Linked DNA regions of Mytilus edulis. The protein of the gene in region 2 purifies or fractionates together with the protein of the main gene of each other region. This does not show direct contact. Links are inferred from orthologs where the notes say so. Each region holds a gene or a part of one and is shown on either strand. Other genes may lie near its edges.

What was found. Proteins that work in one complex are often made in the same cells at the same time.
Region 1: the proteins of protein WWC2-like (region 2) and merlin-like purify together in Drosophila melanogaster (affinity purification with western blotting; 3 studies listed by BioGRID). This does not show direct contact. The link is inferred for Mytilus edulis from reciprocal best matches to the Drosophila melanogaster genes kibra and Mer.

What each region holds. Positions count from the first base shown.
Region 1 is NC_092349.1:5,679,655-5,686,809, forward strand, and holds the start of merlin-like, read right to left. Parts: upstream 3,008-7,155; 5' UTR 2,829-3,007; coding exon 2,721-2,828; intron 519-2,720; coding exon 390-518; intron 1-389. Other genes in the region: replication protein A 70 kDa DNA-binding subunit-like, read left to right, coding at 3,139-3,171, 5,636-5,683, 6,365-6,446. UniProt on the Drosophila melanogaster protein: Regulator of the Hippo/SWH (Sav/Wts/Hpo) signaling pathway, a signaling pathway that plays a pivotal role in organ size control and tumor suppression by restricting proliferation and promoting apoptosis.
Region 2 is NC_092351.1:26,011,815-26,019,675, reverse strand, and holds the start of protein WWC2-like, read left to right. Parts: upstream 1-4,851; 5' UTR 4,852-4,933; coding exon 4,934-5,064; intron 5,065-7,861. UniProt on the Drosophila melanogaster protein: Regulator of the Hippo/SWH (Sav/Wts/Hpo) signaling pathway, a signaling pathway that plays a pivotal role in organ size control and tumor suppression by restricting proliferation and promoting apoptosis.

The DNA of each region.
Region 1 (7,155 bases), on a different chromosome or scaffold from region 2:
TGTTGGTCAAATTTTTGTATTGAGTAAATTAGCTTGATGATACAGAGCATAAAATTTGAAAAAAACAAACTAGATATCATTGAGATGGAAGCCATCTCTGTGGGCCCGCTGTGAATAATGTGTGGTAAAAAATGTGTATCTTTATCATTAAACATGGGGTTGTCAACTGAAACCGATGATTTTGACCTTGATGATGATCTTTGACCTACGAAGTTGTACATAAATTATGACACACCCTCTGGTGTTGTATAATATACATGTCAAGTATAAACTTTGAAATCATAACAGTTGTCTAGACATAGAGTGGACACAATTTGTTATGGACAGACCGACGTACAGAATGATCACTATAGGGCATTCGCCATTCCGCAGGGCCCTAATTAAAATACCTTTTTATCAAATTTGAGCCATGCTATATATCCTTTCGTGTCAACATACTGCAGACCAAAGTACCATGTTTCTCTCAGACCAATTGTTCTACACACCAGTTCAAATAAATCTTTGCCTGTAGCCTTGTGCTAAAAATAGAATAAAACTTAATGTATGTCTAGTATGTACTTACACATTGATTAAAAGTTTATTTTATATTACTTTAAGGTATCTTTTTTTCATATTTTGTCAATGCTTGTTTGTTTTTTTTAATTCTGAAATAAAGAAGAATCTTTGTTTCCTATTTATTATTGATTTTACTTTTTTGAACGTTGATGATCCTGAGGCCACTACTAAACTTCTTAAAGTATGCATATATATTTCCCAACTCATTTGCTAAGCATATCAGCCAACTTTTCAAAATGTCGAAGTGGGTTTTATGTTCAAAATGGCTCATTTACTCCTACAAAACCTTCAAGGGGGCCTTCAAATATATAGAGAAGTAACAAATCAAGATATTTTATCTTGAAATTGTAGATATTTTAAGTTTAATATGTATTAATAGAAAAACAGGTGACATATTTTTTAAAACATCTTTTTAATTATAAATCCACCAAAAAGGCAATGACAAGTATTACAAGAACGGGTCAGAATTATTAGCATGTCATTGAACAATCAATGCTTCAATATGTCCATGTGTTTACATGTTTAAGTGAATTTCAAGAATTTATACCACACCAATATCTGAATAAGTTTCTTAAACTTGAATGCCATTAGTATAAATATATTAAAAAAATTTGTAAGGGTTCCGCGGAACCCAGTGTCTTGCCTACTCTTTCTGTTAATCTCAGGCTCAACAAAAATGAGGAAATAAATCAATGAAATATTCCTGTTGATACTATCTTTTGATTGTAAGAAGCTTCTGTCCAAGTTTTGTAAAAATCCAGGATAGTTTATGAATCTTATAAATGTTTAAAATCTTTAACTGCAGACTGAATGTAATGTTAACTGGAAGAAAACAAAATTTCCTTCTAGATACTAGCTTTTGATCATAAACAAGTTTCTGTCTGTCCAAGTTAAGAACAAATCCAAAATAGTACATGTATAAGAAAGTTATTAAAATTTTAAAAAGTTTAACCACAGAGTGAATGTGTTGTTTCCTGGCAGCAAATCTAAGTCCATTTAAAAGTAAAATATGAAAATATAGATTTAGTCATTTACAAAATTTCATTCCTGATACTAGCTTTTGATCATAAACAAGCTTCTGTCCAAGTTTGGTACAAATCCAAAAGAGTATAAGAAAGTTATTAAAATTTTAAAAACCACAGAGTGAATGTGTTGTTTCCTGGCAGAAAATCTAAGTCCATTTAAAATTTAAATTCGGAAAAATGGATTTATTTTTTTTACAAAATTTACTTCTGGATACTATCTTATGATCATAAACAAGCTTCTGTCCAAGTTTGGTACCAACCGAGGATAGTTCAAGAAAGTTATTAAAAAAAATTTAAAAACCTTAACCACAGAGTGAATGTAATATTTTCCTGTAGAAAAACTAAGTCCATTTATAAGTAAAATACGGAAAAAATGGAATTTTATTTTTACAAAATCTACTTCTGGATACTATCTTATGATCATAAACAAGCTTCTGTCCAAGTTTGGTACCAACCGAGGATATTTTAAGAAAGTTATTAAAATTTCAAAAACTTTAACCACAGAGTGAATATTTGTGGACGACGCCGACGACGACGGAATGTATGATCGCTTAGTCTCGCTTTTTCGACTTAAGTCGAAGGCTCGACAATAAAAGTAGAGAGAACGAACTCATGGCAACACACTATTCAATAATTGAAGGATTGCTAGAAACTGAAAGATTTAACTCTTGATGTTTTAACACCACTCCACTTTTAAACACAGCTTTTGAGCTATTTTGTGGTGGCAAGTTTTTATTGGATGAAGAAGCTGAGGTGCCTGGAAAAACCCGCTGACTTTCAATTGGAAAACTGACAATCCTAGTCCATTAAGATTGGAATAAGTACACCCGTACCAGCCGGGTTCAACTCACAACCTCATTGTTGACTAGTAGTAATTTTCAGTAATAACTACGGAGACAACTCTGCCTCAGAGATCGCAGAAACTGAAAGAAGGTGAAAGACTCTACAGGTGAACGAACACACCAGATAACATCTATCTGGGTACGAAATGACTAATTTTTAAATAAAATTATGTGTGATTTGACTTCAGTGTGATATATATGTGTTTCCTATTACTTAACTAATTTAGTAGTTTTACAAAATATCATGTCAGAGACGATTTATCAATCAATAACACACAGTAATGCTCGAAATATTCACCTCCACAGTCGTGAAATCAAGTTCTGCATCCATTGTTGTCACTTTCACAGCAAAACTTTTTGAGCTACCTGAGGCCTGAGCAGCCTTTTTCATATTAACAAAAGGCATTGCGGCGTTTAATAAGTCTATCGACTAATCTAACACTTTTACATGGTGCTCATAAAACGAATAACCGATCCCTTTCATCTTCATCTTTCACATTTATTCAATGTTTTCATTTTTCATTTAAGTTTGAAATGCTTTACAAGCCACTGCTAATACCGTTCTTGTAAAGCGCTTAGATGATTGCATTTAAAAAACCGGAAAAAGAGGTACAATTGACGCATGCGTAGTAAGCTATATATTTAGCGGGAATAAGCAATCATCAGCAAATAAAGCAGAAAGCAGTCACAGCACTTTCACAGAAAAACAACACAGAATGGCACCAGATCTAACATCGGGTGCTATTGAGGTTAATCAAATTTTGAAGAGGCGAATAACCATTCAACAATCCCTGTTTAAACTTTATGTTATCATGTCCTTCTTTCAGTTACAATGTATAATTTAATATAGATCTTATAAGCGATGTCCGCCGATGAGGGAGTCCCTTCTCTTTATGGTTAGAGTTAACCGTTAGGTGAGATGTGTACTTTAGGTTTAAGTCAGATTTAACATTCTTGATGTCGGATACACATGTGCCTACACCAGCTGTGCTGTGGAGTCGTATGTGACATATATGTCCTTGATTTAATTGATGCAAGCTTCTTTATCATAATTGCTGTATTTCATTCATCCCAATGGGTCCTACTAAAATGTGTCCGGGTAAATAAAAGCGCCCGGGGAAGAAAAAATAGCGCAACTTTGTGTTGATAAAATAAGTTGTGCACATTATTTTTTTTTTAATTTTAGACAAGTAATTTTTTTGTAATAAAACAAGTATGAATGTTTCAATTTTAACAATAATATAATTTATGAATACAATTTCGAAAGACTGATTATAATGGATCACAGTTTATGCGGAAGATTTATAAAATGTAAGACATCAAAAGGCATTGTTTTTCAAAAACAATATCAAAATGAAAAATGTAAAAAAAACGACTTAGATTTCACAGATTAATATATTAATTTAATCAAAATTAAAAGAGTTACACATAATACATCAGCAAATAAAGCAGTACTATACATGTACCGTAGTTAAAACAAGGGGGTAAAAAGCAGGAGTTTGGTTTAAATTTAAAACTAAGCATTAAAACCCTGATAACCATAGCCATTGAAACAGTTTTAGTTTCATAAAAAAGATATAATAAATGTATATCAGCATCTGCATAAAAAGTGTTCTCCATGCAGTTGCGAAAATATAAGACTTCAGGCATCATATCCACATTTATATTAAGGACAAAATTTATTTTTTTTAAATTATCATTGCATAACAATATATTAATGTATCTAGGCACTCATACCACATCTTCCTTTAATCTGTCTACATATTATACTTGCTCTTAATTGAAAAGTATTTAGACAGTCTATGTGTTGTCTTACACTGTTTTTTTTTAAAGTTTTGAGTGACCTCTAGTATTATCAGATGGTGCTGGGGGCTAAAGTAAATAGGCTCATCCTGTTGATATTGTGACAAATCTGGACTTATTATTGTTATTATTTAACGTATTATTTATTGTATATGACATATATTTATTTGAATATTGCCGGGTGGTCAACTTCTCTCGAGTGCACAAACACTGATAAATGCATTGACTTTCATACTCATGATTTAAACTATTTGTACTTTGCAAGCGATAAGGGTCAGTTTTATATGTATATCTTGGTAATGTTTACCTATGAAATACTTTGATTATACCGTCATACAGTGATTTATTTTGACAAATATCGTCGTGAGATTCAACTTGTTTACATCTGCCACGACACCGTTTTGTACTTTCACTTTGCGATCTCACATTATCATTTGTTTAAGTTAACACTTTGTCAATGCAGATAATTTGCGTATTTATTATGTTTGTGCCTCCCTTTTCATTAACATTGTCTTTATTTATGATAGAACAGGGTTTTCATTGATCTTATTTAAGCATTATATCTAATGCGTAAGGTTATGTAAATTACACCCAAGTTCATACGCCGTACCGAGAAAGGAATTTACTGTCCGTTTAAAAATAGCATTATGTAGAAATGTCCTTTTAGTTTCATTTGCTTTTAAACATAATTCGGACAAGAAGGACAAAGTGAGGACAACTTAATAATGTTTCTTTATCTAAGAATAACGAAATCTGTTTGTCTTTCTAAACGTTACTAGCCAAAAGACGTAAGAAACGTTGCTTTTGATTGGATGATTAGATGTTTACTCTAACGTCATAGTAAGTGCCAAAAGACATAAATAGGAGCCTGTAGACACACATGTCATTCTGAATCAATCTCTTGAACCGTCAACTACCTTTTATATTGACCACCCGATTTATTGCTTTATCTGTTGAATGATGAATGTGTATTTGATGTTTATTATATTGAAAGAAGAAGTCAAAAAACTGTTGAAATAAATATCATTGTTATGTTTATTACAAATCTGTTTCTTCACACTGCCGTCGATTCCACTCCTCCTGAATGATGGTTAAACAGTTTATAGTAACCCTAGGTTTGTTACAATATCATCTATACCATGGATGATGCATAGACTCCAGTCACTCCAATATCTGTAAAACTTATATACTTAGATAAATAAATGTCTCAAAAAAATTTATCGCCTTTTGGTCATTCAATATATTTTTTACTGTTTTCTATAAAGCAATCCAAGTTGGATAAAATTCCTCAGTGTGAAAACTTTTGGATGAATATCTTAATGACTTAAAAAATAAACTTAAGCTCCTTCGTGCAATTGTAAATCCTATTGTGCTATAACTTATAAAGTCTTGTGTGTTTTCTTTTTGTAGGCTATAGTTGGTGGAAACAATTTTGATAGACCTGTCTTGCAGATTATTGTAAGTATGAAGACACACTAGTGGTCTCAGGCTTTTTTATGCTCTTTCGTCGGGTTGTCACTTTGACACATTCCCCTTTCATCTCAGTCTTATTATTTACAAAAGGGGAGTGGGAAAAAACCCAACTGATAACTTCTCTTCTTATGTATTAAAATGTTCTATATTCAGGTATTAGATAAATCTACAAAAAAATTGAGATGTGGTAAGATTACCAATGATACAATGCAACTATCCACCAGAGAAAACAAAAAGGAAGTCAAATAGGTTAATCTATTACACATTTTCCATGAATATACATTTCTTCTATAAGAAGATTAGAATAAATATTAACATTAAATTTTCTGACTTGTCTCCCCTTAATTGGCTGAGAAAATGTAACAAAATTTATTTTGTATTTGTGAATAGGACATTATGTAATGTGATTTCTTCATTTTGATGCATCAAAATATTGGTTTACTTTCCTTAACTTTAGTGTTTTTGTCTTGGGATGAACAAAAGTCTGAAATATAAATGAAATTAGTATGATGACAAATTTTGGTCTTTTATCTCTAAAACTAATTTTGACAAATGAGTAAATCAGATTTTCAGGAGCTGCTTAGTCTTATCATAAATTAAATACTTTAATATATTTTTGAAATTTTGATTTCATTTCTTCTCATCAATTACATTTCTATTCTGCAGAGCTCAAAGAAAATAACAGCAGCAGGATCCAGTGCAGATAGATACAGACTCCTCCTATCAGATGGACTTCACAGTTATTCACGTAAATATGTGTATATTGCATATGAGTAAAATCACAAAATTATTTTCTTATCTTGTACAATTTCAAAAGGCTTTGTTAAAATTAGTTTGGAAGAAGTTGTATGTACAAAGTATAAGGTAGTGTTTGAAAGGTTCAAGCCTAAAATAAAATATTGTTTGTTTCCCCCATCCCGACCGACTCTGCAAAAACAGTGCTACTCATAAAATTTTATTGTCAAAACTAAGTCAAATATTATTTTCATTTCCAATATCCTGGCTTGCCGGATTGTACGATATTGTTCAACCTTTTTGGAAAAATAAAATTATTTTCCTACCTACCTACCAACACCTGGCTCGGCAGGGTCGGGAATGGGGAAACAAACAATATATTAATTTAGGCCTCATGATTTCATCATTTAAATTAAGTTCGTTTAAAAGGAAGATGAAGAAGGCCTTTCTAAAGTATTTATAGAAAACTGAAATTTAATTCAGATTTTTAAAAAAATTATCTAAAAGTTTTGACCACCAAAATCTTACAAAGGATAAACTTTATTTTGGTATTTCACTATAGAAATAATAGTGGGGACCAACAGATCTTTTTGAAGGACCACCAGAGAAAAAAAGATTTTGAATAATCTGTTAATTGAGATTGTTTATGGTTTAAAACATGTATGTTTAGTTTTCCATTTAGTTGTACATAGAGTATAATTGGTCAGAAAGGTATCAATGCC
Region 2 (7,861 bases):
TTGTATTTTGTCGGTCTTTTCTTCGTGTTTCTTCTGATATACTATCGACCCCTTGGTATCCTCTGTCCCTCTTAAAAGTTATAAATCTCACTGTTGAAGAAACCAATTAGGTAATTTTACAACGTTGGTGCATGAATGCGCTTAGTCGACTTGAACTTTGGCACTGACCACCTCCTCTTCTAGATGGTAAAGTCTACTTTTTTTTCCGAATAGAAATATTGGTTGTAGTTTTGTGTGTTTCCTCTACTTATAGTTAGAATCTTAATCCTATATTTTACACACTCGGCCGCTATCTAAAATCTAAAAATTTTAATGTGTAAGTGTTCGAATTACTGGATTTTATGTTTATTTTTCCTTTTAAATAACTATAACTAATCCTCTTCGTGTCGGTTGGAATATAAGGATGATATATACCAGTTATCTCCATTGCAATCCTTTCCATTCGGAACTCAGTAAGGTCTTTCCTATGCTTTTAATTTCAATGTCAATTGTCGTTTTGGTCTTTCTCTTGTTCGTCTACGTTCTGATGTTTTTGGTGATGTTATTCTTGTCTTTTCTTAAAGTGTGCCCTAGCCATCTAATCTCCTTTTATTTGTTTTGGTGGTCATCAGTTCTTTTTGTCCAATCTTTGCTGGCCAATATAACTTACAATTTTTCCTAATACATTTGGTGTGATTTTCAGAGAGTCTGAGCTCGCTTCTTCTTCTTCTTCTTCTTCTTCTTCTTCTTCTTCTTCTTCTTCTTCTTCTTCTTCTTCTTCTTCTTCTTCTTCTTCTTCTTCTTCTTCTTCTTCTTCTTCTTCTTCTTCTTCTTTCTTCTTCTTCTTCTTCTTCTTCTTCTTCTTCTTCTTCTTCTTCTTCTTCTTCTTCTTCTTCTTCTTCAAGTTTTCCAGTTTTCCATCTGAATAAATGAAGATTTTTAAAAGATAGTGAAGAGAACAGCATATGTAAGCTGATCTTTGAAAGAGTCGACTGTCTGTGCATTTACTACTGCGGTTGGTAAAAGATTCCATTGAGTTATTGTATATGGGAAAAAATGAAAATCTGTACGAGTCTTTTGATGTATAAATGTGTCTGAAGGTGTGAAAATGATGTTTTCTGGTTCTTGAGTCTGATGGGATGAGAATTGTGCTAGATAGTATAGCAACAAGAGGATGTGTGATCTTGTACATCATAACCAGGCGTGCACGCAGTCTGCGTTGTGTTAAAATGGGCCAGTTTAGTGTGTTCAGCATGTTTGATACACTGCTAGTATTATGATACCTGTTGCAGGCATACCGAGAAGCTCTCCTTTGGATCATCTCTATCTTCGAGATAGATTCTGAAGTGTGGGGGTCCCAAACTGAGCAAGAGTATTCGAGTTTGGGACGGACAAGTGCTTGGTATGCCTGGCTCTGGATGTTTTGATTTGCTGTTTTCAGGTTTCTTCGAAGGAAGCCGAGAGTTTTGTTGGCTTTCGATATATTGTCATCTATGTGTTTGTCCCATTTAAGGTTTGATTGTAATGTGATGCCTAAGTATTTAGCAGATGTAACAGTTTCTAAAGTATGATTGTGAAGAGTGTTATTATGTTGTAGAGGTTGACGTTTAGTTGTGACAGAGAGAACATTACACTTGTCTGGGTGGAAGGCCATTATCCAGTCCTCTTCCCATTTTGCAGCTGCGTCAAGGTCAGCTTGCAATTTTAGGCAGTCACTCTGGGATTTAACTGGCATGTATATGATACTGTCATCAGCAAATAATCTTAGTTTGCTATGTGTAAGGATGTCTGGAAGGTCGTTGATATACGCTAAGAATAAGACGGACCTAAGACAGTACCTTGTGGAACCCCAGAGGTGACTGGGACTGTGCTTGATGATCTTCCACCCAGAACAACTGTCTGTGTTCGATCGGAGAGAAATGCAGAGATCCAGTTTAAAGTGTTTCCATTAATACCAAAATATTGTAATTTGTATAGTAAGTGACGATGCGGTACTTTATCAAAGACCTTCGCAAAGTCCATTATTACAAGGTCTGTTTGAGTATTTGAGTTGTTTGTGGATTGAAGTTCTTGGATGAAGGAGAGAAGTTGTGTCTCACAAGATCGAGAGCGCCGAAAGCCATGTTGAAGGTTGTACAAGATGTTATTTGATATGAGATGTTTCATAATATGTGATGTTACTATGTGTTCCATTAACTTGCAGCAAATACAAGTTAATGAGATAGGTCTATAAGTGACCGGTTTATGCTTATCCCCCTTTTTATATGCTGGTGCGACTCTAGCGTGTTTCCAGTCGTTAGGTGAAATACCAGTGTTGTAGGATTTGTTAAAAATTAAGCATAGAATTGGTGCTATTTCTGTCTGCATTTCTTTCAGTAAGCGTCCACTGATGTTATCTGGGCCGGTGGCTTTATGTGGGTTGATCTTATTTAAGAGCTTTTCGATCCTTCAGTTTTTATTGATTTGATGTATTGAAAAAGTTTTTTTTAGGTTTGCTCTGATTTTGTATTTGAATGTCTGGTTCATTGATGGGAAGATCACATATGAGTTTTTCAATATATTCCCAGTAGGCCTTCCTTTGTTCTTTTTGTACCTGAGCTTTCATCTTTTTTTATATTTCTCAGTGTATTCCCTGTTTTTTTTTGCCTTTTGAAAAGTTTGTTTTTCTTGTTAATTTGACGTCTTTTAAAATTTATCAGATATCCACGGTAATCGGTGTTTGTTTCGTAGGATCTTTGATGGAATATGTTTTTCGACAGAGCTGATGAGTTTGGTTTTAAATAGTTCCCATAGCTCATTGGCGTTAAGAGAATCATAGTTGTCAATGATTGTTTTGTAGATGATACATATGTCAAGTTTAATTTCGTCCCAGTTGGCTTTGTTATACTTGTATACTTTTTGTGGGGTTTCTCTTATTTTCTTAAGCCAGATGTCTGCTTCGGCATAAACAATATCATGGTCGCTTGAACCTATTGGTGGTAGTGTGGTTACTTTGTTGATGTATGTTGGGTTGTTAATCATTATGAGATCTAGTATACGGTCATTTCTTGTTGGTGTATTGACAACTTGATGTAGGTTTGTGTCATTCATTATATCTTAGAGATTTTGGTGAAGTTGTATGTCAGGTTTGCATGGTATTGTGCTTGATGTTGACCAATCAATATGTCCCAAGTTAAAATCACCCCCACAAAGATGGTTGCATTTGATTGACTATTGATACGATTTAGAGATTGATGGAGTTGCTCTAGAGACAATCCTGTGTCAGATGGTGGTCTGTAGTAGGATGATATTAAGATGTTTTTCAGCAAGCGATATTGATTTCTGCCCAGACTACTTCACATTCAGTTTCTAGTTCTTTTACCTCTGAACTTATGAATTCTTTTGTAATTGCTATAAGTACACCCCCATAGCTTTGGTTGTTGGTACTTGGTGCCCTGTCATTGCGATACACATTATATAAATCTGATGGAAAGTGCTCGTAAGAAGAGGTGTTTGGTTCTAACCATGTTTCGGTACCTAGTATGATATCTGGTTTGACAGTATCAATAATTTCTAGTAGGTCCGGTTTTTTGTTTTTAATTGATTGAAAATTCATGTTTAGAATTTAATGGCATTTTGCTCTTTTTTGTTGTTGTATAAGCTTTTTCATGACAGGGAAGTTTGTGTGGAATTGGAGATGATGCAGCTGTTGGTGCACCTGGACTTCCTACATCTCTAAGACTGCTTGGTGAATTTATATAAGCTGTCATATATATTTGATGTTTCTAAGGTTGTAAAGTTAAAGAAGCTTGAGCTAAAATTTGGCATACCACATTGTATACAGTGCCAACTTATATTACTATTATTCATTATGTTGTATATTTGGTTTGGTATTCCTTGGCAATCGATGTGGTACCAAGTTTCACAGGAGTCGCAGCAGACAGCATGATGTTTCCATGTCACTGCCTTACTACAACTTCCGCAAGGCCACCTAGGTGAACGAGGGCCTGGGTTTGTTTCGGTGTCGAATGCATTTGCCAGTAATATAAGGAACAAATATTTATGAGCCTTTTAGGACTTTATTTATTGGTAAATTTACCAAGATCAGTTTCGAATTCTGGGGAGTAGAGGGTGTATCCCCCTTTTGTTAGACATTCGTTTGTTTTCACCATAAAATCATCCAAATTTCTGTTCACTTAGGACCTGAGATTATAATAGTTGTCTCAGCTTGGACATACTTCAGGCCGGAGTCCCTATTAACAGCGAAATGACAAGCATTAATGAATTGAGAGGCTTTGAAAAATATCTCGGTATTTTAAAAAAAAGTGCATTAGGCAGCTCTGTTTTATAAATAAACGATTAATTGATGTAAATTATCAATAAATGATGATGATAAGTAATTAAATTAAACAATCGTGCCGCTCTAAGTGTATGATTTTCTCTTATTTAAGTCAAGCTAATTTTTTGTGGTTCGCTTTGATCTTTTCAATTTTGAGTGTACATATACCTATGGTGAAATTTAATTGAGGCCACTGCATTTGAAATACAATCTTGCACGTATACTTTTAGTGATAACTACGTACCTTATTAAATTGATGATAAAAAACTGTTGTTATTATTTTTCAATGGTAGGAATTTTATAAAATGGGAAGAATTTTACAAATTAGCACTTATCAGGAAATATGTCTAAATATGACATGCAGTCAGTAGACTCACTGTGATTTAAAATGGAAATTTGTGTTTAAAAAAATATCATATTCACCTTTAAATACTTAATTCACGTCTTTAATAATGTAATTGATTCACATTGTGTTATCAAATTGTAACACATTCCTTTCATAAAAAGATTGTTCCTCATTGGTTGAATTGTCATTGAAATTATTTGTTTGTGACGTCAGATATGCTAATGAGATATGGGAGAGAAACATGGAGGACTTGTGATGATAGGGATTTATTTATGTTTTGTCAATGAAATATGCCCAAGAGACGGAGTGGGGGAGAGATCCCTCTTCCAGAAGGTTGGGAAGAATGCCGTGATTTTGACGGCAAAGTTTTCTTTATAGACCATAATACACATCAAACTAGCTGGATTGACCCGCGAGACAGGTAAGCAGTTTAAGTTTTGGAAGTTTTTATTTATTATGAACACTTCCTAGACTGCAAAACGATCAAACGATAGCTAGCATACTAGATTTTATCCGTAGAAAGTGTACGGTGACATGCATAATACGACGAGAACAGCTGTACTTCTGTAGTTTGTTGGCATGTGTTCGATAGTTCATGTTTTCAGGGGAAGTAACTCTGTAGAAACTAGAATTTAAAAATATTTTCTTAGGTCACTTCTGCATTTTAGGTTGGTGAATTATTGCCCAGTTATCACACCTTAATGATGCCAGTATATCCAGTTAGTATGTTATACTTCCAGGAATGAACTACTTGTCAGATCTTACAATTATTCATTTTTCTGTGTCAAATGTATACATGAGGGCCATTAAGGGGGTACCTTTATGATGAATAACAGTATAAATCCTTGTCAAATGATCATGATGTTAAGGTAATTTTTGGTGCATGACGAAAAAATGTGAACTTTCTTTATGACGATAAAAAATATATCGACTGATTTTGACGATTCAGGTTATTTTTTTTTCCAAATATATAACATTAACGATAATTATTTGAGACCTCTAATGAAACATGATAAGATCGTTGAAGAATCTCAGTGAAATTTAACCAATTTGCCAGTAAAGGGCATTCCTACCCTCATACATGTACATACACACCAATGCCGGGTATAACCATTCCATTAATTAAAGAATGTAGTGGATTATACATAATGTACATACATTTTGTAAATTCATATGCAGGCCACCATACATTGTAGATGTATGCATTTGACAATCGAAGTGGAAATAAAAAGATGTATTTGAAATCAGGAGAACTTTTAGCTAACATAACCTGATCGCTTGTAGACTCATGGTCCTCTAGACATGCTAGATCTGAGAATCTCCAAAAGACTTGAATTTTGAACCCTCATGGTTGACAAAATAAGCAAAATACAAATGTTGGAGGATTTCAAAAGGAGGTTTTTGTCACATTTTTTATAATCCTTTCTTAGGTGAGATGCAGATGAAAATATATGATTATAACATTGGAATTGTGGGTCTGCAGTGTGTGGTTGTCATTTTATCTGGGTGATCAACTCCTTTTGAAAACACTACAGACCAAACATTTTGACATTATTTAACACCTTGACTCATATTGATATTTCATGGTCAAATGTCCAAACTGTGACCATGCAGTTATCCATTCCTTTTGCTTAATTGAAGTTCATATAACTTTGTATGCATAATGTATATGGTTAACTTTTAATGGGATGTACAAATGTAAATTGTAACCATTGACCAAATCAATTTCAAGGACTGAAGGTTAGAGATCAAAGGTTATGATCGGTTGTGAATCTGTACAAATGTATATTTTTGTACACAAGTTGAATATATTTAATAGAAGAACATTTCCTCCAGAATAACTACTGTAACTGTTAAAGCCAGGTATTGAATTTTTGTACATGTACATATTAATGTAATTATTAGCCCCTTTAGTCTACCCCAGATGTCATTGGTTCCATTCTCTGCTATTTTTGGAAAGAATCTCATGCTCTGTAGTGTCATTTGGAACTGCAACTTGAAATTAAAAGACACATTGATTAAAAGAAATTTAAAGATTACATATTATATACATACATATATGTAGCTGGTGTTTGAAAATTGAAATTACAAGTTGTCATAATGGTTTATGTCAAAGACTTTTTATGGTTTGGGAAATGTGGTGCTTCCCTTAATCTAGTAGATAAGTAAAAGCTCTCCATTAGCTGCACCAAGAAAGTACTCCTTTTGTTAAGATATTAAAACTGTGCTATATATAACTAAACATACACAATGTAAGGGTCCTTAGTTGGACATGAATGTCTCTTTAATACAATAGAAGGAATCTCATGCTCTAGTTTTCACAATTACACATTGTACATTAAGTTAGATATTGATCACCAAGTCTATATTGAGGGATCAGAAATGGTTTGTTATCAATTAAAGCTAAACTTATGTCCATAGCCAAGATACCCCCATTTTCCAGTGTACATGGCAGTCCTATTCCCAGACCCTCATCTCGTTATAAGGCCACCATCACAGTACCTACCTATTATATATATTGTTATTTTTTCTTGTCCTGAGCATGCATAAAATATTTGCAACTGGACATTAAGCGAATTCTGTATAGTAAAAAGAAGTAAGTTCCAGGAGGAAGGAGACTTTTTTGAAAGGTTTAAAGTGACAATACTAAAAATCTTTATTTAAACTTTTTGCAGAATCTATTTGGCAATTTACTTGTTTGCAAAATTTTGTATGATGTAACAATTTTGTTTAAATGTATCTTCATGTCTAGATCTGTGGCAGACTGGCAGTCAAGTTATTGTACTGATTTTGTAGGCTAATACTGAAGGTTATCAATATGGGTCTTAACCTAGTACAATGACCGCAGTTCAAACCCAAATCCATTAAAACTACATGCAAAAAATTGTATTTGTTGCCACAGTGTACATTGTATCTTAATTTAAGGCTGGAATTGCTTTTTTTCATCTTTGATACAATGTATCTATTTCTGCTACACAAATTCTTGAAGTCACCATCATGTTTTAATAAAATTCATTTTCTTTAGTATTGATTGAATTTCAATACACATCAAATGCACATGTTCATTTTGTAATTAAACATGTTAAATGTAACATTAAAATTGTTGCAATCTGATTATAGAAATATCCTGTGATTAAATACATGTCCCTTTTAATACTGACATAGTTTGATATAACCCTATACTTATGTTGTGTTTATTCCATTCATAACTGTATTAT